2 linked regions of the Medicago truncatula genome follow. The protein of the gene in region 2 binds, or shares a complex with, the protein of the main gene of each other region. Links are inferred from orthologs where the notes say so. Each region holds a gene or a part of one and is shown on either strand. Other genes may lie near its edges.

Region 1 (9,639 bases), on a different chromosome or scaffold from region 2:
AAGCCACTTTGTGGTTGGCAAAACCTAATCCTTGTATTATTTGTTTCTTTCTCTTAAATCAACCTCGGAAGTACTAAATTTGACACAATTCTACAACTATATAAATGCCTCTTTTAGATAGTTAAGAAGCTCAAGCACTTACACATAATAATATCCTATTTTAGATAGTTAAGAAACACAAGCACTTATACAAAAGTTTGTGTGTGAGAGAATTTTAATTAAGTTGGAACAAAATGAAGGGAGGTTCAATTGAACTTGGTGAAGTGTCTAAAAATGCATCCACAAATAAAGGGGTGAAAAGAGGATTATCTATAATGGATTTTATTTTGAGAATAATTGCAGGTGTTGCAACACTTGCTAGTGCTGTGGCTATGGGAACAACTGATGAAAGGCTTCCATTTGCTACATCTTTTGTACAATTCAGGGCTGAATATGATGATCTCCCCTCATTTGTGTAAGTGTTCTATTTTTGTATTTTGTTATACCGACCTGATAGTTAAGAGTCCTACGTTAGATGATATATGAATTTGAAAATATTTTATTTATAGAAGATATCACTCATCTTACAAATTGATTTTGTATGTTTGAGTTCAGACTAGCCCAAATTTTAAGAATGAAAAATTAATTAAATTGCAATTTACAATATTAAATATTGGCTAATATTGAACATGAATATTTCAGGTTTTTTGTGCTGGCCAACTCTATTGTTTGTGGGTATCTTGCGCTTTCATTAATCCTATCAATACTCCATATAGTAAGGAGCACTGCAGTAAAAAGTAGGATTCTCCTCATTGTTCTTGACATGGTAAACACACTCATCATGATGTTTACAAAAATTCTCAGTATATGACAATTTTTGTAATTAAAAAGGACATTAAAAAATAAAAACATAAAGTAATATTTTTTTTCAAATTAAACATAATCCTTCTGTTAAACTTATTTTTTGTAATTAAATTAAACATAAAGATCAACTTGGTATATATCATATATTGTACCCAAAAAAAAACTTGGTATTGTATATTTAGTGTTAACATTTCAAAAATAATCTTCTGTTAATGTTTATAGAGTAAATGGTCACTTTAGTCCCTGACTCTGCACCTCACTGTCACATAGGTCCTTGACTCAGGATTAAATAAAAAGAAGTCACTGACTCTGCACTTCTGTCCCTGACCGTAAATAATTATGTTAAGTGATGATGTGGCTCAGGTTTTACAATGACATGACATATCAGGTGTCACATGGAGTAAAGCGAAAGTAGAAAATGACCACTTTAATTCCTAAATCAAAAAACAATATCCCCAACTTAAATCTCAAATCCTAACCAGCCTCGTTAGGTTGCTGAAATTTAGGCACAAGTACAAAAATTACTGAACTTGATATTCACATAGTTGAGACTAAGAAAGAGATTTTTAAATTCTTAATTTTAAGGTAGTATTTGAATTTTTTTATAAATTTAGCTATAATAAGTCATTTCCTAAAATACATTTGATTTTACAAGTTCTCCAAACTTATACGAATATAATTTACATTGAAAATTTTGAATTATCCATACTAGCTCATAAACTTTTCTCATCCAAACACATTACATAGATTTTGTCTCATTTGCCAGTTGCTAGAACTAGCCCTCCTGTGTAACATAGACAACATTATTGTGAAGGTTTCTACAAGTTTGTACAAGCAACTTTTCCTTAATTGGTTATATTAATGTGTTTAAAAATGAATGAGCTGTCATATTCATTAATTGATATGGTAACACATTATTAAATACATGTGTTAAATAACTTTACGCTGACGCGCTGCATACTCATTAAACTCTTCCATATATTGTGATGCTGATCAATGTTTAATAATAACAATTGAGTTTATATTGTGAAGGTAATGATGGGTCTACTAGCAGCAGCAGCCTCAGCAGCAGCATCAATTGTGTACATAGCACATTATGGAAACACACAAGCCAATTGGTTTCCTATTTGCCAACAATACAATAGTTTCTGTGAACGTATTTCTGGTTCTCTTATTGGCTCTTATATTGCCGTTGCTCTCTTTATAATAATAATCCTCCTATCTCAATCAGCTATCTCTCGAAACTGATGATTTGGTCTATGAGTTTATCGCGTGTTCTATTCAGATTATAGAATCTGAAATGTTTCAACGTGTTTTTGGAGGTCTGTATGAGGTGTTTATGCTTTTTGAATTCTATATTCCGAACTGCATAGAACGCACGAGAAACTCATAAGATGGAAAAAAAAAGTCTTATGAAAATCGTGATCGTGTGTATTCCCCTATAGTCTGTGTGCATTTGTACCAAAGTGTGTTTCTCTAACTTGTTTAGGCTTGTGTTGGATACTTTGTTGGTGTACACAATTTAAATTTCTTTTAATAGTACAAGAGGTTTGAAAGTTTGACTTTGTAAGTTCAAATTCAATGGATAAAATTCAGATTTCCCATCAATGTTTGTAAAATAGTCATTAGCGTCAAAATTCTCGATTTAAAACTTTTAATAATGTTCAATTTAAAATACTTGAAGTTGCACATTCTAAACCTTTTATATATGTTCAATTGAAAATCCAAAATTCAAAAAAATTAAATGTCAAGATGTGTTTTATACAATTAGAATTCCAAATACCAATACCCTGCAGCTTCAACTTTGCACTAAGCTAACTGAGCCACAAGTTCATCTATTGATTTCAATGTCTTCTCGTAGTATAGGTATGATTCATATACCTTTGGTGTCCGAACATAACGATCCATCTGAAGATGGAAAAAAAGAACCATAAATCAGATGCTAGACATTAGCAATCATTAGTTCATTACATTTATCATATAATAACAATGTTGATTTTTGCATGACAAAATTAATCTTTAAATGCATATTCCATTTATTAAAATGATGATAGCCATGAGTGTAACCCACTTTTATACCGATAGCATCCATTAAAAACCATTGTTTTATGATATCATTTCATTGTTGTAATTGTATTTTAAAATTAAGTTTAAATCACATTTTGATCGAACCGTAATTTTAGTCCCCAATTTTTTTATGGCAAATGTTAGCTTGTTAGTTGTTATTTTCGTACTTTCTCATTTGCTCAAGATTCAAACCTAGATCTTTCACCCTTACATCTTAACACATTTAATACCTTAGTTCAACCAAGCAAGCTATTCATCCCTCATCCCCTTTTTCTAATAGAACAATTTTGATCCATCGTTTTAAAAATTTGACCAACCCATCATTTCGACCATCCAACTTAATGAGGTATAATAAGTTAGATGGTGATCTGACATGAAAACAAATGCCTATCTCTTGAGAGTCTTAAAAAAATGATGTTAAATTAAGTGGTGATCAAATATATAGAGGAAAAAGAAGATCAATTGAGATGGTACAAGGGATTGAGAGTAAACAATTTAGTGTCATGGTATCATTAAATTTTGGATGGTTAAATTATAAGTTGGTCAAAATTTCAGAAATGGGGACCAAAATCACGGAATTAAAAACGACAGACCAAAATTATGGTTTGGCCAAAATAAAAAGATCAAAATAGCATTTAAACCTAAAATTAACTATGCAACATGGAAAAATAGAGTTCATAGTGCATGATAATGTAAAACTAATTTATATATTTGTTTCTTAGGATAGCTAATTTATACAAACATGTCAAATTCATGTTTCATCACTCAAATTAATCCATGAAATTGACAATTTGAGTCGATTAGTTGAATTTTTTAAAATTAATCATGAAATTGAAAATTTGAATCAGATGAGCTAATTTGGACGAAATGAAATTTTAATTTTCAAAATATTTTGGAATTTCATCAATTTCAAAGGCTAAATTATCTTATTTTATGACTATAATTTTAAAAAGGTTTAATAGTAGTTTTAACCCCTAATTTTTTCAAAGTTGTAATTTTGGCCCTCTAAGAAAAAAAAACTACAAAATCACTCCCTAAGTTTTGCATCTCTGGCAGTTTTGACCCCCAAGACCAATTTTGACTCAGTCTACGTTGACGTGGCACCCTAAGTGAGGTGTCACGTGCTATTTTTTTTTTTTTACCAAAAATTGGCCTTGGGGGACCAGAAACTTCTACGGTTGCAAAACTTAGGGGCAGTTATATAGGCTTTTTCTTAGGGGGCCAAAATCGCAACTCATGAAAGTTAGGTGGCGAAAACTGCTATTAAGCCTTTTAAAGCACACATCAGTATAGCAGAAGTTGTATATCTATTCATAGACTTATTCAATTCATTCATCAAATTAACAAAACACCACTAAAAATTAATCATACATACCTCAGTCAAATTATCAACCAACTCATTAGCAGTTTTAACATACTCCTTGCGACGATTTTCAGGCAAAGTAGTGATAGCATTTCTCAAATCCTGTTCAAGATAATTCTGTTTCAATCTTATATAAAACATAACATACCTCCAAGACAAAGTTTCCAACATTTCCCTAAGATTATGTAACCCTTCAGCTGTTTGTTTTATCCTTAAAACTGCATCTTCAGGGGACAATCCTGGCATAAAAAAATGTTCTTTCATAAAAGAACGTGTGCCCCAATTCTGTGCTAGTGCTAGTGGTGTTGTTGTAACATGTACTACTCCAACCATTGATGTTGCTAGAAATGTTGAAACTAAATTTCTTCTATTTGTTACATTTTGTTTAGAAGATAAAGAGTTGTTAACGTTGTTGTTGATGTTGTTTGAAGTGTTTTTGTGTTTGGTTTTGATGTGAGCATGGAGTAGTGTAGTGGCATGAGTGAAGCTGGACATGGTATTTTTTGTGTGTGGATATTTTTGGTGTATGAAGGATTTAGGTATGGTGTGAATTTTGAATGGTGTATTTGGACTATGGAAATTTTTGGGCAGGTTTTTATTGGCTGACCGTGTTGCCCGGTTTATACACTTATGCCTTGAGATTATGCCACGTGGAAACTTTATTATCCATTTGAGTTGAGAAAACTCCAAGTCAATCATTGTTGGAAGATTTAAGCATTTTCTTTTTGGTGAAAAAAATGTAAATTAAATATTGGATCAATTAAGTTTTTAGTCTTATAAACATCTGCAGTTTTTTTAATCTCTGTAAAAATAAATTATATTTTTTGGTCTTTACAAAGTTTTCCATTAATGTTTTTAGTTCCTGTTAAATTAAAATTTGTTTAATTATGTTTAAAATTTTAAATTTTTTAATAATTTTTTACATACTTGTTTAAAACATCATAAAACGTTCCGCTGCAATAAGTTAGGTCAAAATTTTATTTTTAGGTCTAAATTTTTGTTAGTTTTATCTTTAATTTTTGGCATTTTAAAAAATTATATTTAATTCATTACATGTTAAAAAATTCTAATTTTTTATAAAATATATTATTATAATGTTCTTAACATGTCTGTTAAAAATCATTTAAAAATAAAAAAGTTTAAGTATAATTAAACAAATTTTAATTTAACAGGGACCAACACATACTTTTAGTCCTTGTAAAATTAAAATTTGCTTAATTATGCTTAAACTTTTAAATTTTTAACATATTTTTTACATACTTATTTAGAACATTATACAAAGTTCCTCCGCAAAAAAGTAACTCAAAATTTTATTATTTGGTCCAAATTTTCATTAATATAATCTTGAAAATTTGGCTTTTAGAAAAATTCATATTTAATTCATACATGTTAAAAACCTAATCGATTTTATGAGTGTCTTACGATGTTATGAACATGTCTATAAAAAATCTTTCAAAAATTTAGAAGTTTAAGCATAATTAAACAAATTTTAATTTAACAAGGATTAAAAACACTAACGGAAAATTTTGTATGGACTGAAAAATGTGATTTGTTTTTATAGGGACTAAAAACAAAACTGCAGATATTCATAGGGACCAAAAACTTAATTAACTCTTATATATGTATGGTAGTGGCTTTGATCCATTTGCAGGTTCATAGAATTTTCACTATTAGTCCTCGTGAGCATAGTTCAGTTTGGCAGAAACATGCATTGTTATATGCAGAGGTTGTATAAGTGAGAAAAATGTGAAATGTGATACGGGAAGAGAGAGAGATTTCACACATGTGAGTTCTTTGTAGTGAAGCGTATGTGTAAACGTGTTTTCCCCTCAGGTTTTTGACCACCGATGGAAAACACCCAATTATAATTAAAGATAAACTTCATCAATATTACAAAACTGCCATCGTGTTTCATTTTTCCCTTCAGGTATATAGTTCCACCGATGTAAACACTCTTCAATAATGATCTCTCCCCTCAGCTAATTTCTCAGCCGATGTGAAAATGCCACCGTGTTGCATTTCACATCAGGTATTTGACCACTGATGTAGATATCCTGTTGTTTTCTAGTAGCGGAACCCCGGACGCCCTACTTATTCACTTTGAAAAATGTGAATTCTAGCCATTAATCTACTTAAAAAAAAAAAAAAAAAAATCACTATCATTAACCATCACAATACATGAATATCGTTTTTAAATACCTTAGCCTCTAAATGCAATTTTCATTTTTATAAAGAAGAAATTTGGTAACTTAGTTGATATGTCAATTATATGTAGAGCTGTCAAAAATGGGTCGGGCTCATGGGCCGACCCATTGGCCCATATTTTTGGGTCGGGTCGGGCCTAAAAAACTAACAAAAAATGCACTCAGGCTTTTTCAGCCCAAGCCCATTTGGGCCGTACAAAAGTTGGGCCAGGCCGGGCTGGCACATCGGGCTTTGGGCCGGCCCATTAGCCCATATTTCATTTTATTTTTGTTAAAAAACAACATATTTTTTAAAAAAATTATCAACTAATTTAAAATTTATTAACAAAAAAAATATTTAAATAAATAAACTTAATAAATATGGATGAATTTAGCTTACAGTTTTAAAATTTTAAAGTTTATAAATTATTAATTTGATTTAATTGAAAGAATAATCTAGAGTTTAATTATTATTCAATGTTAATGTAAAAATTATTTATATTTTTATGTCCATCCAATCATATTTTAGCAAAAAAATAATGGTGAGTAACTAATACATAAGAAAATACATAAAAAAAAATGAATAAATTTTAAAAATAAAACATAAACGGGCCAGGCCGGGCCGGACTCTAGAATTCACTGCCCAATCATAAACGGGTCGGGCCGGGCTGACCCATTTATATAGTCGGACCTCTCGGGCCCGAGTCGGGCTGGGTCGGGCCGGCCCATTTGACAACTCTAATTATATGTATCTAAAATATACATTAAATATGTATATACTATTTAATTTTGACTTTTACGTTTCAAAACACTTGATGTTAATTATGAAATTTGGAAAAGAAGCATTATACATGTCTTTTAATTTGATTTTTTTTTTTTTATATTTAAGACATTTTTTTTGCTAAGCAAGTGTTTATGTTTAGGGACATAAGAAATATCTATTTATTGTATTGATTAGTTAGTCAATTCATGTTTCCTCTCTCAAATTCTTCTTTTTTTTTTTAAAAAAAAAATTCAAAAATGGAATTTTATTATCAACCAACTTTACTTTCTCTATACAAGGAATGTTAGAGAGAAACAAAGAGAAGAATGAAATTACATCATAAAACGGTTACAAACACCAAAAGCAAGGGTAAGGAAATTACAACCATAATAAAGGGTTGATATACCACATGTGGTAACTAAAAGTAAAGTTGATGTGAATAGTATGATCTTTTTGTCAAGTTGATGTACCTTTAGCCATCCATAAGAATATGCCTTAATTTTGTTAAGCAGATGGCAAATAGTATCGTCTTTATTCTTTAATATTTTTTTTATTTCGTTCTTTCCAAATAATTCAAATAGAGAAATATCAAAATAAGATTACATTTGGATTTCGATAATCCACCCAAAACACTAAATTGTGTCAGGTGTTTCGAGATATGGTGTGGAACTACTATGACGAGGCCTAACCAATCATAAGTAGTGATCCAAACATGACGGAATTAGTCATAACGAAGAAAAATATGAGTCGCGTCGTCCATATTACCATAATTTCCCACACAAGATACGAGCAGTAGTTTTGTTGGGAGGCGGTTGCGAAGAAGACGCAACACAAAGAAGTTAACTTTCAAAGGAACATCTCGATGCCAAAATACATGATTATCATTTGCAATGTGTTACGATTTGCTGCTATTAAAAAACTATAATCATTATTGATTGTATTTTATTTTATGTACACTCCAAAGTCTCTCCCCATCCTAGATGCCTCATCTCAAACACAGTTGTCATTTTATATCAAAATCCTCAAAAAGGCGGTTGAACCTATCTTTCAAAACCCATCCTCTCAACTAAGGATCCCACCAAAACAAAATTGAAGTTCGGTCACCTGCCTCACGCACAGAATTATCACCTATCAAACTTCCCACTCCTGCTCCACCACCCTGACTAATATTAATTAAATTACTCCACCAAACTGATCCCTCTTCCTCATCCAGAGGAAACATACAACCAATCTCTCCAAATTTTGCTAAAAGAACTCTATGTAACGCCATAGTCGTTATTTTATTTAATTTGGAATTATTTAGAGTCTTTTATGTGATTTTAAATAATATTTGTGATTTTAGGTGGTGTGTATTATTTTATTATATGATTTATTTTAATATAATTAGAATAATATGAGAAATAGAGTTATTTTGGAGTGTGGGGAGTTAATTAAGAATTAATAGAATTAAGGGGAGTTTAATGAAATAAAGGGGAGTTAAGTTTTGGGAGTTAAGAAAAAGAGAAGTCAGAAAACGTTTTATACGTAAAACAAGTTTTGGGAGAGAAGAACCAAGAACAAGTAGAGCCAAGATCATCCGTGTGTTGTGCGATTTTCTGAATTAAGGTAAGGGTGAGACTATCTCTCAATAATCATAATATATAATTTCTGAAAATTGATCTAATTGAATTGTTCTTGAAAATAAAAATTGGGAATTAGGGTTGATGCTGATTTTGAAAGGAATGGTGTAAGAATCATGTTTAATGTGTTTAGTTTTCATGTTCAGAATGATTTCTTAATCTATAATGTTGCTGTGATCAGAATTTGAGGGAGATTAGAATTGGTTGGGAAAATTGGAGAGGTTTTGTATGATTGCTAGAATGATCTGAATTGTTGTTGTTAATGCCTGTTTTGTGTTCCTTTAGATGCCTAGTTGTACAATGAACCTGTAACCATCTGTTGGAAACGTTGGGTGATCAGGGGATTAAAATTGGGTTTTGGAGTGAGAAAAGGTTTGAAACCCGTAGGTTTTTGCACTACCGAGATGAATGGTCGCTTAAGCGAACGACCCGTCGCTTAAGCGAGCATTCAAGCAAGCTGCCCAGAATCCTGTTTTGTCAGTTCACTTAAGCGAACTGTGAGCGAGCCTGTAAGCGAAAAAATTATTCCATTCTGCCAGAAGTTCGCTTAAGCGAGTCGCAAGCGAACCGTTAGCGAGCGGAACCCCAACTTTCTGTAAGCCGGTCGCTTAAGCAAACTAGCCGTCGCTTAAGCGAAAATGACCTTAGTCAGCCACTTTTTGAACTTTGCCTCGTGCACTAGGGGATTCTTTTGAGCATTTTTAAATGTTCCTTTCAACTTGTAAGACCATTATATATACCCTGAATCCTACTGAACACATTGTTAATCGAATTGGTGGAATTTAATGAATTTTGAATTTG
Region 2 (10,869 bases):
ACCAAAATAATATCTCACGACCAAGCCATGATATGCTGTCTACAAACGGTCTGCTATGGCCAAAGTTCCACATGATTTCTATTTCAAATACTAATTAACTTAGTATTTATAATGACAAGGTGGCTCACTAAACCTAAGTACATTACATAGCGTTATAAACAATGTATTCAAAAATTGGCGCTATTGCAGCATTATAGCACTACAGCATAACGCAGTCTGAACAAACAGCAATTGTTCTAAGATACGGGAGTTAGTACAAAGTATTGACAAATTGCGGCTATAGGTATATCGGTGTAATGTAGTAGAATTTGAAGAAAACACTAATTTTAGCATTCAGCGATTCATAACACGGGTTTTAAATATTTCTTATTTGGTTAAGTTGTTTTGGATGGGGGAGGGGAACAAAATACCTCCTCGCTTAATTTAGGCTCCCTCCAATTTTGGCGGATTTAGAGAGAGAATATGATTTTATAAAATCTTAAAAACATCAAGTAAGATAATCTTACATTAAATGTTATAAGGGTATAAAATGTAAATTAACATTTTGCCTTCACAAAAATCTCTCCACATAAACCAAACAATAAAATGGTTATTAATTATTTCCTTTCTATTTTTTTTCTCCTCCTCTCTATGTAACCGAATATTTCCCTTCCCTCTCCTCCATTTAAACCGCTCTTCCCTCTCGTGTCCTATTCGAACCAAACAAAATTCTCATAAAACGTGCTTGCAAGACTTTCCACAAATTTCTCATTTTCTACAAAAAAAAAGATAACCAAGCCTTATCCATCTAAGTGGGGTCGGCTACATGGAATAAACGCAACCATAATGTTCTATCATATATCATAACCCTATCCAACTCATTAATCTCTAGAACTTTCTTAATAGTTTCTCTAATAGTTTTTCTAGTCTTCCTCTGCCTCTAGTGTTTTGCCTACTAGTACTCTCCATCTGATCTACCTTCCTTACTACGCAATCTAGAGGTCTCCTCTCTACTTGCCCAAACCACCTAAGATGAGTTTCTACCATCTTTTCATGATAGGTGATACCCCAACCCTCTCTCTAATATTATCATTTCTAATTCTATCATACCTAGTCATACCACACAGCCAACGCAACAACCTCATCCCCACTACACTTATTTTACTCTCATGTTAGTTCTTTACTGCCTAACACCCCGTCCCATACAACATTGCCGGTCTTACAACCGTATGATAAATTTTTCCCTTCAGATTGAGTGGGACTTTTGTATCATATAAAACAAATATCTCATTGTCTACATTGAAGTTAATTACAAGTTACAATTCAACCTTACAATTACATTAAAAGTTCAAACAAATAATACCAATATCACAAATCACAATATTCTAAGTTAATCATGATTACAAAGGAATGAAGATACCTGTATTTGGTGTAACCCAAGCACACCTTTTCTTGCCTTCCAAGCCATCAATCGATTCCACCTCAACAGGAGCAGGAACAGCAACAACTGCATCAATACTCACCTTCTCAACCTTTGCACCAACCTGCTTCTTCCCCACACGCCTCGCCACTTTCCCACTCGACGAGGCGCCACTACTACAAGCCGAAGAATCTGTCGATGAAGCATCCGACGAACACGAAGCATTCATCGACATATTCTTCATCCCCACAACCCCACAATGATCCCGCCGCTTCAAAACCGCCGGTGTAACCACCACACACTGCGGCGAAGTTTTCTTCTTCTCCGTTTCGGGCGCCGGCACCGGTTTCTTCACATTCTTCACAGGACGAGCTGCCTTGGAATCAGAATCTGCTCCAACAGTGACATTCATGGATCGAACTCTGGGTGGACCCGACATTGCAAAACCCTAGATTCTAGAATATTCTTCACGAAATCTCTGTTTAGAAGATCAATGCCGAATACCCAATTGAAAATTTCGAGTTTTCAGAGATGGAATTGAAGTAAAAGATGATAAAAAAAAAAAGATTTTGAATTGAAAATTTGAATTTCAAGTTTGAGCACAAAACCCTAGAAAGAAGAATAAAGGGTTTCTTTTTTGGGAAGCATGAAGATGAAAAAAATGAGGTAAGTTTGGTTGTTTGTGTGAAAAAAGGTAGAAGCTTTGCTTTGTGTTGGTGGAGTGTGGTGAGAAAGTTGCAGACTTGCAGGGAAAGAGTGAGAAAGTGAAAGGTAAAATATTTCTAAGGGTGTGTTTGTTTCAAGTTTACCAAATTTATTCTTAAGAATAACATTTCTTGGAATATAAAGATAGGAATTTTATTCCAAAGAATTTAGGAAAAATATGTTTGGTTAGCTTTATAATATTCCTAGGAACTATAAAAATAGGGATTATAATAGGTAAACTATTTATGAATTTATTCTCATTTCCATGGGAACTTTATTCCCACCCTTTTTCTTGTGAAATTTTTTCTATTCCCAGGAACATTTTATGCCCGGGAATAAAATTTAGTAAACTTGTAACAAACATAGGGATATATATTCCAATCATTTTATTCTCGGGAATCAACAATTATAACTTGAAACAAACACACCCTAAAGGTTTAATACATGTTATGTTTTGATCCCTTAACTTATTTTTGGATTTTATTTTGGTCCCTTAACTATAAAGTATTTTAATTTGATCCCTTATGTCTTCTGTTGTTACCTCTTTTGATCATCTCCGTTAGTTTGTTTTCAAAAATAGTTAACCCTTGTCCACATGTCATTTAAGATTGGTGATCAACAACTAGATTTGAAAAGTACACAAGTATACAATAGGCTCACAACATATAATCATTTCTATTCTTATTGATTTTCCTAAAAATATAAATTTAAAATCACCATCAATCTTCATCTATTTTTGAAATAATTTGTATCCAGATTTTTAAAAATTAAAATATTTTTCAGAATTTTGTAGAAAAAAAAAATTAAAAATCTGACCTTTTTTTTAAATTTCGTAAAAAAATTATTTTTTTTCATATTTTATAAAAATCTGAATTTTTTATATATTTTTCAAAATTAATATTTTTTCCAGAATTTTGTAGAAAAAATTAAAAAAAAACATTTTTTTTCGGACAAAAAAAATCTGACCTTTTTTTGAAATTTCGTAAAAAATTAATTTTTTTTCAAATTTTAAATTTTGGAATATTTTTCTTTTCTAATTTTAAAATATGAATTTTTTATATATTTTAAAAATTAAAATATTTTCCAGAATTTTGTAGAAAAAAAAATCTGACCATTTTTAAAAATTTCGTAAAAAATAAATTTTTTCAAATTTTTTAATTTTGAAAATGATTTTATAAAAAATATGGAATATTTTTTTCTTCGTATTTTATAAAAAAATATGAATTTTTTTATATATTTTGGCTTCAAAAAAATCAGGTGTTAATCATTCACCGTAGGCTACAATACACCTACATGATCCAACGATTTCTATTTGAAAAATAGATCAAATAATTAAAATGTAACAGATAGGACCAAAAGACATAAGGGACTAAATTGAGACACTTTATAGTTAGGGGACCAAAATGAAATCCGAAAATAAATTAAGGGACCAAAGCATGTATTAAGCCGAAAGTAAAATATCTCTTTTTAGTTTAAGGAAGAGACTAATAAATGTGTTAAAATTTAATAAAGGAAATAATCATAAATTTTTCTTAGTTTAATACCACGATAAATCTTTTCAAGGAAAGTTTATCATATATTTTATTATACTTAACTTAATGATTAATTTATGCAACTATGCATAGAGGATATTCGTTCACATACACCCAAAAAAGGGAAGGAATAACAAAATGGATCATGTCTGAGACTATATTTTTTACAATCTTGATTATTATGAGACGGATTCTATTAACTTGGAGTTCCATCGGAAAGACAATAAGTAAAATATGCCCATAAACTGTTTCATCTCATAATCAAATTAAGATTCTTTCAAATAATTTGTCATTTGATAAAATTCAATAACCATTCGTCCTTAATCACTTGATTTCCTTCACTATTATTTATAGGTTTAATAAGCCTTTACCCCTTGTAATATAGGTCACTTTTGGTTTTGTCTCATGTAAAAAAAAATATAGATTCGATCATTGTAAAAAAAAATTGTTTTGGAAAACCCCACTAGGCCAGCTGACTGTACATTTTTGCTGATGTGACATGTTCCGTCATTTTTTCGGATGACGTGGCATACTAACTGTATAATTTTTTTTATTTTTTATGGGGTACACGTGACATTAATGATTTTTTTTTAAATAAAAAAATTCTTAATTTTTTTTAAAAAATGAAATAAATTCTGGAAAAATGAAAAAATTTAAAAAAAATGATTAAAAAAATTTAAAAATGATAATAATTCTGGAAAAATTTAAAAAATCTGGTCAAATCTGGAAAAAATTAATATATACCGAAATTTTCAAAAAAATTATAAAAAAAGTCTGAATTAAATTAAAATTATAAAAAAATTGAAAATATATTATTATATAATTATTTTGATTTTGAAAATTAATTTCTAGAATTTTATTTTATTCGAAAATATAATCTAGACGAATAACATGATACAATGGATATTGATTGACACCGGTATATAAGTCATGTTATACCGTTAATAACAAGCCCTTAATTCTATTCTTCATGATCTAATGTTATGTTTTTTTAATTATGAAAATACTTTTAAATATTTAGATTTTCTGTATAAAATAAAAATAAAAAAAACCAAACTTTTAATTTTGAAAGAAAAATATGAACTTTCATTTTTAATTCTTTTCTTATTATATTCATAAATTTTGAAATAGTTTAAGTTCCTAAATTTTTCATTTTTTTATAAAATAAAACTTCTTACTATCGAAAAAAAAAAAAAATTTCATTTTCCAAAATTTTTTAATTTTTTCGCTATTGAAAATAATATGGAAATATGAATTTTTTGAAATATATTAATTTTTTTAATTTTTCCAGATTTTATTTTATTAAATTTTCTAGATTTTTGTTTTTATTTTACCAGATTTTTTTAATTTTTCCAGATTTTTTTTAACTAAATTTTCTTGATTTTTCATTTTACCAATTTTTTATTATATTAATATTTCCATAATTATTTTGTTTTTTATTATTATTTTTATTTTTCCAAAATTTATTTTATTTTTTATAATATTTTTTCGTTTTTTAATTTTTAAAAAAAAATATAAATGGCATGTGTGCCCATAAAAAAATAATTATACTGTCAGTGTGCCACGTCATTCGAAAAAGGTGACATAATATGCCATATCAGCAATAGTGCACAGTCAGCTGCTCTAAGGAGGTATTCTAAACAAAAAAAAATTACAAGGACCGAATCCAAATTTTTTCTTTTACAGGAGACAAAATCAAAAGTGATCTATATTACAGGGAGGGATAAAGGTCTATTAATCCTTATTTATATATCCTCTCTTCTAATTTTCTATCTCTATCTTTTTTATAATGAAAAACGAGAGTTAGGTGAGACATGCAGAGAAGTAGTGAAAGAGATGATTCAAATTTAAAGAAATAACTTGCTTCCATTTTGTGTGTTGTATAACGAGTATAAGTTAAAAATCTCGTATAATCTAATATGGATTCCTATTTTTCCCAAAATTTGTTTATATATTTTATAATTATAATTATTTGAGACTAATTATTTTTGGTGAACCAAACATCATTTTAAAATATTTTACTTTGTTTGTATGTTATGTTATTATTGATAATTTTAAACTCAAGGTGTGGTAGTTGGATGATAATTTGGCAGTTACAAGTACCATTTATAGTAAAGAATTTCATGTGGCGTGCAGCATGCAAATGCATCTCCACCCAAACTAGACGTGAAAGGGATTTTTTTTTTTTAATTTTTAATAAATATGAGAAAGTGATATGTGTTGAAACTCATTTTCCTTTTTTTTTTTGTTACAACTTATTGTCTAAAGTAACAATAGTCTCATCCATAAGTTCTAACTCAACTGACAAAATGTCGAAATCGTTAGACATGATATCATAATCGGGGTTCGAACCACGGTACCTCCACTTATGTGTGTGAGTTTATAATAACTTTGTCATTTCGTCTATCTTAAAAAACAAAAAACAATAGTTTCAAAACCTCAAATTTATATTTGTTTTATTTATTCGCTTTTTATTTATTGTCTATTTACGAGAGATTATAGACATAAATAATCTTTTATTTGTGTTTATTTTTTAATTATGACGTCCACTTGAATTTTTGAAATATAATATACATATGTCGTTTAATGAAATTCATAACACAAACTAGGAATTAATACTTGTGTGCATGATGAATTTGGCATATTTATAAGAGCCAAGATATTGTGGATGCAATCGGCTGTAAAGGTAGTTGTTGCATAGTGTTTAGTTTATTGAAAGCAATGAAGTGGACTTAAAATTAGGAAAGAGGATTCAACAAGTTATATTTTCTATGCATGTCAAAGTGGTGGTTTGGGGGATTGTTTCAATTTCGTAGTACATGATATCATTGAGTTAGGTTCAATGTGACATTGAGCAGTGATATTTGAACAACCATTTTATATAATTTTTTGTGATAATTTTTTTTTCTTTTCTTTTCATTGGTTAAAAATAATGGAGAGAGAAAAAGGAAGAGAATGAATAAGAGGATAATATGGATATGAGAGGAAAAATTGTCACAAAATAGTTGTACAAATATCATTTCTCTTCTATTATTATATCGTACCAAGGACTATTTTACCTTTTATTTGTAACAACTCTCATAAGATTCTTTTTCACGAACTCATGTAAAGTTTTCTATATGAAAGGTTGATAATTGGTAACAGGAAGGAAGCTGCACATAATACAAAAAAGATTAAATGGGACCCACTTATCCAACACATTTCCACACATTCTAGTTCTAGTCTCTAACATGTCTAACTTTGTAGCAAGAACAACGCAAAAAAAGAACCAAATTTGAAAAATCTCAATGGCTGCAACTGCAACATATTATTTACATTCTAAAATTTCAAAACCATTTTCCCATTTCACTACAAACACATTTTCCATTCCTTCAACTTATCCAACCAATGTTTCATTGTTAACATCATTAGACCATCCATCACATTGTTACAATTCAACTAGAAGACTAAATCTTCGCGTAAATGCCAAAAAGAACAATCCATGGCTAGACCCTTTTGACGATGGAGAAGATCCAAATATCGAATATGGTTCGTTGTTTTCAGACGGTAAACAAGACGAGGATCCAAGGCCGCCCGATAATCCAAAAAATCCTTATGGATTCTTGAAGTTTCCAGCTGGTTATATGGTTGAGATAGCTCCTTTAGGATTGAAAGTTAGAGGTGATGTTAGAAGGTGTTGTTGTGTGGTATCTGGTGGTGTTTATGAGAATCTGTTGTTTTTTCCAATGATTCAGTTGATTAAGGATAGGTACCCTGGTGTTCAGGTTGATGTTGTGGGTTCTGAGAGAGGGAAACAGTGTTATGAGTTGAATAAGAATGTTAGATGGGCTAATGTTTTTGATCCGGACGATGAGTTTCCTGAGCCTGCTGAGTATACCGATTTTGTCGGTGTTCTAAAGGTTGGTTGGCAAGCATATTTTTTAAATAGTTTGTGTAAAGTTTCGATATTTTTCTTTAGAAATATGAGACTGAAAATCGATCATACCTTGTAAAGCACCGATACGGACGCGTGTCCGACATCAGGACACACCTAATCCGAAGACTGTCCGTGCTTCATAGCTCAAAACTCTTAACAGATTTTTCCTGCTACTTTCTAAGGTACATATATTAGAAATTTTATATAGGAACTGATTTATTGTTATGTTATGCTTACAGAGTAGGTACTATGACATGGTCTTGAGCACAAAATTGGCCGGAGTTGGCCATGCAGCATATTTATTCATGACAACTGCGCGAGATAGAGTTAGTTATGTTTATCCGAATGTGAATGGTGCAGGAGCAGGATTGTTTCTATCTGAAACATTCACACCAGATAGTACAAATCTCTCAGAGGGAGGATATCATATGTGAGTTTGTGCATGTTTGAAATCACGGTGTAAACAGTTTTTACACTGCCAATCAGTCTTAAGTGTTAGATCATGTATTGACAGTGTAAAACTTTTTACCTGATAGTATTTAGATTTACATTTGGTAGATTTTCACGAAAATTTTCTTTAACTGAGGACCATTTCCGATGAGTTTGACGAACTAGGTATCATCAAATGGAAGACTGGCTAGGAAGACCGTTTCGAAGCGTTCCACGGCAGGTTGTGCCACCACTTAAAATATCACTTTCAAGGAAGTTGAAGGAAGTTGTGGAGGAGAAATACACAAAAGCAGGTGTAAAGAAAGGAAGATATATTGTGATTCATGGGATACAATCAGACTCAAAAGCCACAATGCAGTCTAGGGGTGATCCTGATAGCTTGCTACCCCTTGAAGTGTGGGCTGAAATTGCTGATGCTGTAAGGTATGAAATGTTGCCCTCTAATATAGAATCTCTCTTAGCTTATTTTTATAAGTTCTCCATAATAGCTTATGAAAACAGCTTAGAACTTATTTTCAGCTTATTTTTATACATAAACTCTTGTATGATAAACATTTATGCTATAAACGTTTCATTAAGTTGTTTATCAAAATAGAGTTCAAGTAAAAAAGGTATCCTACATAACTGTATTCGTCAAATAAGTGTTTCTCAAGCAATTTCTCCTTATATTCTGTCATTTTCTGGTATGTATGTTTTGGACTATATTTTAACAATTAACATATGAATACAGGGAATTTACACCACTTTTTGTCATTCCACATGAGAAAGAAAGGGAAAATGTTGAGGAAATAGTTGGAGAAGATTCCTCTATAATCTTCATCACCACCCCTGGACAGGTACTCAAGTATCTCATAGTTATTTTGCATGCAACAAACTTAGAGAGAAAAAAATAAAATAGTAAAAAAATGTCAAAACATTGAACTGTGATGTGATGAAAATGAATGAATAGATCAATAAAAAATATGCTGTTTTAATATTGAAATAACAAAAATAAGGGGAAAGACAACAATATGGGACATAGGAATAGGCTTTTGAACATAACTAGTGTCCGTGTCTGTGTCTCGTTGATTTTTTTTCTTTGATCGACCAAAAATGGAAAACCACGGTGGCATAGTCTTCATGCAATCCGAATTCTGTGTGGATCTAATTTATTGTAGTTAAAATGTGAGTCTTCAAATCTTCATTTTAACAGTTTCAATTCCCTAACTGTGGTTGTATGGTTTAGTTGGCTGCTCTTATTAACGACTCGGCTGGAGTTATAGCTACCAATACAGCTGCAATTCAGCTCGCAAATGCGCGCGAAAAACCTAGGTAATTTTACCATTCACATGAATTATAATGTTTCCCTAAACAGCACATTAATTAAGCTTTGCAAGACAATCACATTGATCCCATAAAACTGTTGCTCAATTTATGCAGTGTTGCACTATTTTCCTCTAAAGAGAAGGGAAACAAGTTTGTTCCGCGGGCAGAAGAGAAGAAGTGCATTGTGATATCATCCAAGACGGGGAAGTTGATCAATATAGATGTTGAGGCTGTAACAAATGCAATTCAAACTTTCAATGTTTCTCTAGCTTTTGCATAGCCTAAGAGAGGGAAAACAGCGAGGGTTCTGAACTTCAAGTTAAGTCGTTGTGCTAACTATGGTTAAAACTTATGGTAAAGAAGGAATGTATATCAACTAATTCATGGCTTCCTTTGGGGCGATAAAAAAACAGGTACATGAATTAAAACGAAAGTCAAAACACGTAAAAATAAAAGTCGAGAAAGCTTTGCGATGCACAAGCATGAATCTTGTGACAGAAAAAGAAAAGTGGATCCTTTTCAGCAAAACAACAAACAAAAAATGTGAATCCTTATCACATGCACAAGATTCCATTTATTAAAGCTATCACCTAAAGCTGTTTACACTTTGACAAGCTTGTGACATACATATGTCGAGAGCGGTCTCGAGATCTCTTGGTCAATTGGACTAATCCAACGGCCGGCCTCTGAATGGAAAGACTGCAAAGAATCCAAAATCTGTGTCGAGATACAGAAATCAAATAAGTTTACACTTTGCAGTTCATTTGAAATAGTTTTGTGGAATCGGAACATATAAATAGAGATGACATTCCAATGCACTGGCAAGAAACAGAAACATACAAAGAGTTCGGCACCTTAGATGCTACTGATTACTCCTACTTATATCTAATCTACTGAAACAAAATCAGTTCAGTGGCTTTGCACGAGTCGATGGATCTTCCTTTGATTCGACACGAATCATAAACACGTATCCTAAAACCCACAGGAGAATGTACTGAAAAGGAACCCATGGAAGGCATGCAATAAGACTCATGATGCTGCCAATATACTGAGGATCACTGATGACCCCGAAAGGGAATTCGGTTACCCATGGAATAGTTTTTCCGAAGCGTACACCGTAGTATGTGCCGGCTTCACCAAGAAGCTGATAAACCCTGTCATTTGACAATATCATAATTATAATTAGGCAAATTTCAAAGCAATACAATTATAAAATAAGGCACAGTGAAAATATTTGGGCACATCAATTTTTTTTTAAGATACACTGTCATAAAAAAAATGGTATTCTTCTCAGTAAATTCGAGGCTAAAAATCAATTGTAGAGACAAAACTCTAAATTATAGCTTCATATTAGAATCAATTCTATTGTTAAAAACAGTTAATATCTATTCCGGATGCAAAATCGATTCTACTTGTCATTGTCAAAATCAATATCAATTTTGCTTTCTCCAAATGTGGAATCAAACATATACTTAATCTTGTTTTCTTATACTAATATCCAGTAATAATGATCATAAAACTGACCTCACATTATTCAACAAATGACACATTTTTCAACACCC

The links.
Region 1: photosynthetic NDH subunit of subcomplex B 1, chloroplastic (region 2) and photosynthetic NDH subunit of lumenal location 2, chloroplastic share a complex: the UniProt entries of both Arabidopsis thaliana proteins name them as parts of the chloroplast NDH complex. The link is inferred for Medicago truncatula from reciprocal best matches to the Arabidopsis thaliana genes PnsB1 and PnsL2.

The regions. Positions count from the first base shown.
Region 1 is NC_053046.1:18,323,833-18,333,471, forward strand, and holds photosynthetic NDH subunit of lumenal location 2, chloroplastic, read right to left. Parts: upstream 4,868-9,639; 5' UTR 4,769-4,867; coding exon 4,286-4,768; intron 2,752-4,285; coding exon 2,653-2,751; 3' UTR 2,519-2,652; downstream 1-2,518. Other genes in the region: casparian strip membrane protein 1, read left to right, coding at 234-454, 682-805, 1,876-2,091. UniProt on the Arabidopsis thaliana protein: NDH shuttles electrons from NAD(P)H:plastoquinone, via FMN and iron-sulfur (Fe-S) centers, to quinones in the photosynthetic chain and possibly in a chloroplast respiratory chain.
Region 2 is NC_053045.1:954,419-965,287, forward strand, and holds photosynthetic NDH subunit of subcomplex B 1, chloroplastic, read left to right. Parts: upstream 1-6,830; 5' UTR 6,831-6,923; coding exon 6,924-7,535; intron 7,536-7,791; coding exon 7,792-7,982; intron 7,983-8,167; coding exon 8,168-8,425; intron 8,426-8,732; coding exon 8,733-8,838; intron 8,839-9,227; coding exon 9,228-9,313; intron 9,314-9,421; coding exon 9,422-9,587; 3' UTR 9,588-9,740; downstream 9,741-10,869. Other genes in the region: probable GMP synthase [glutamine-hydrolyzing], read right to left, coding at 1,400-1,838; phosphatidyl-N-methylethanolamine N-methyltransferase, read right to left, coding at 10,212-10,461. UniProt on the Arabidopsis thaliana protein: NDH shuttles electrons from NAD(P)H:plastoquinone, via FMN and iron-sulfur (Fe-S) centers, to quinones in the photosynthetic chain and possibly in a chloroplast respiratory chain.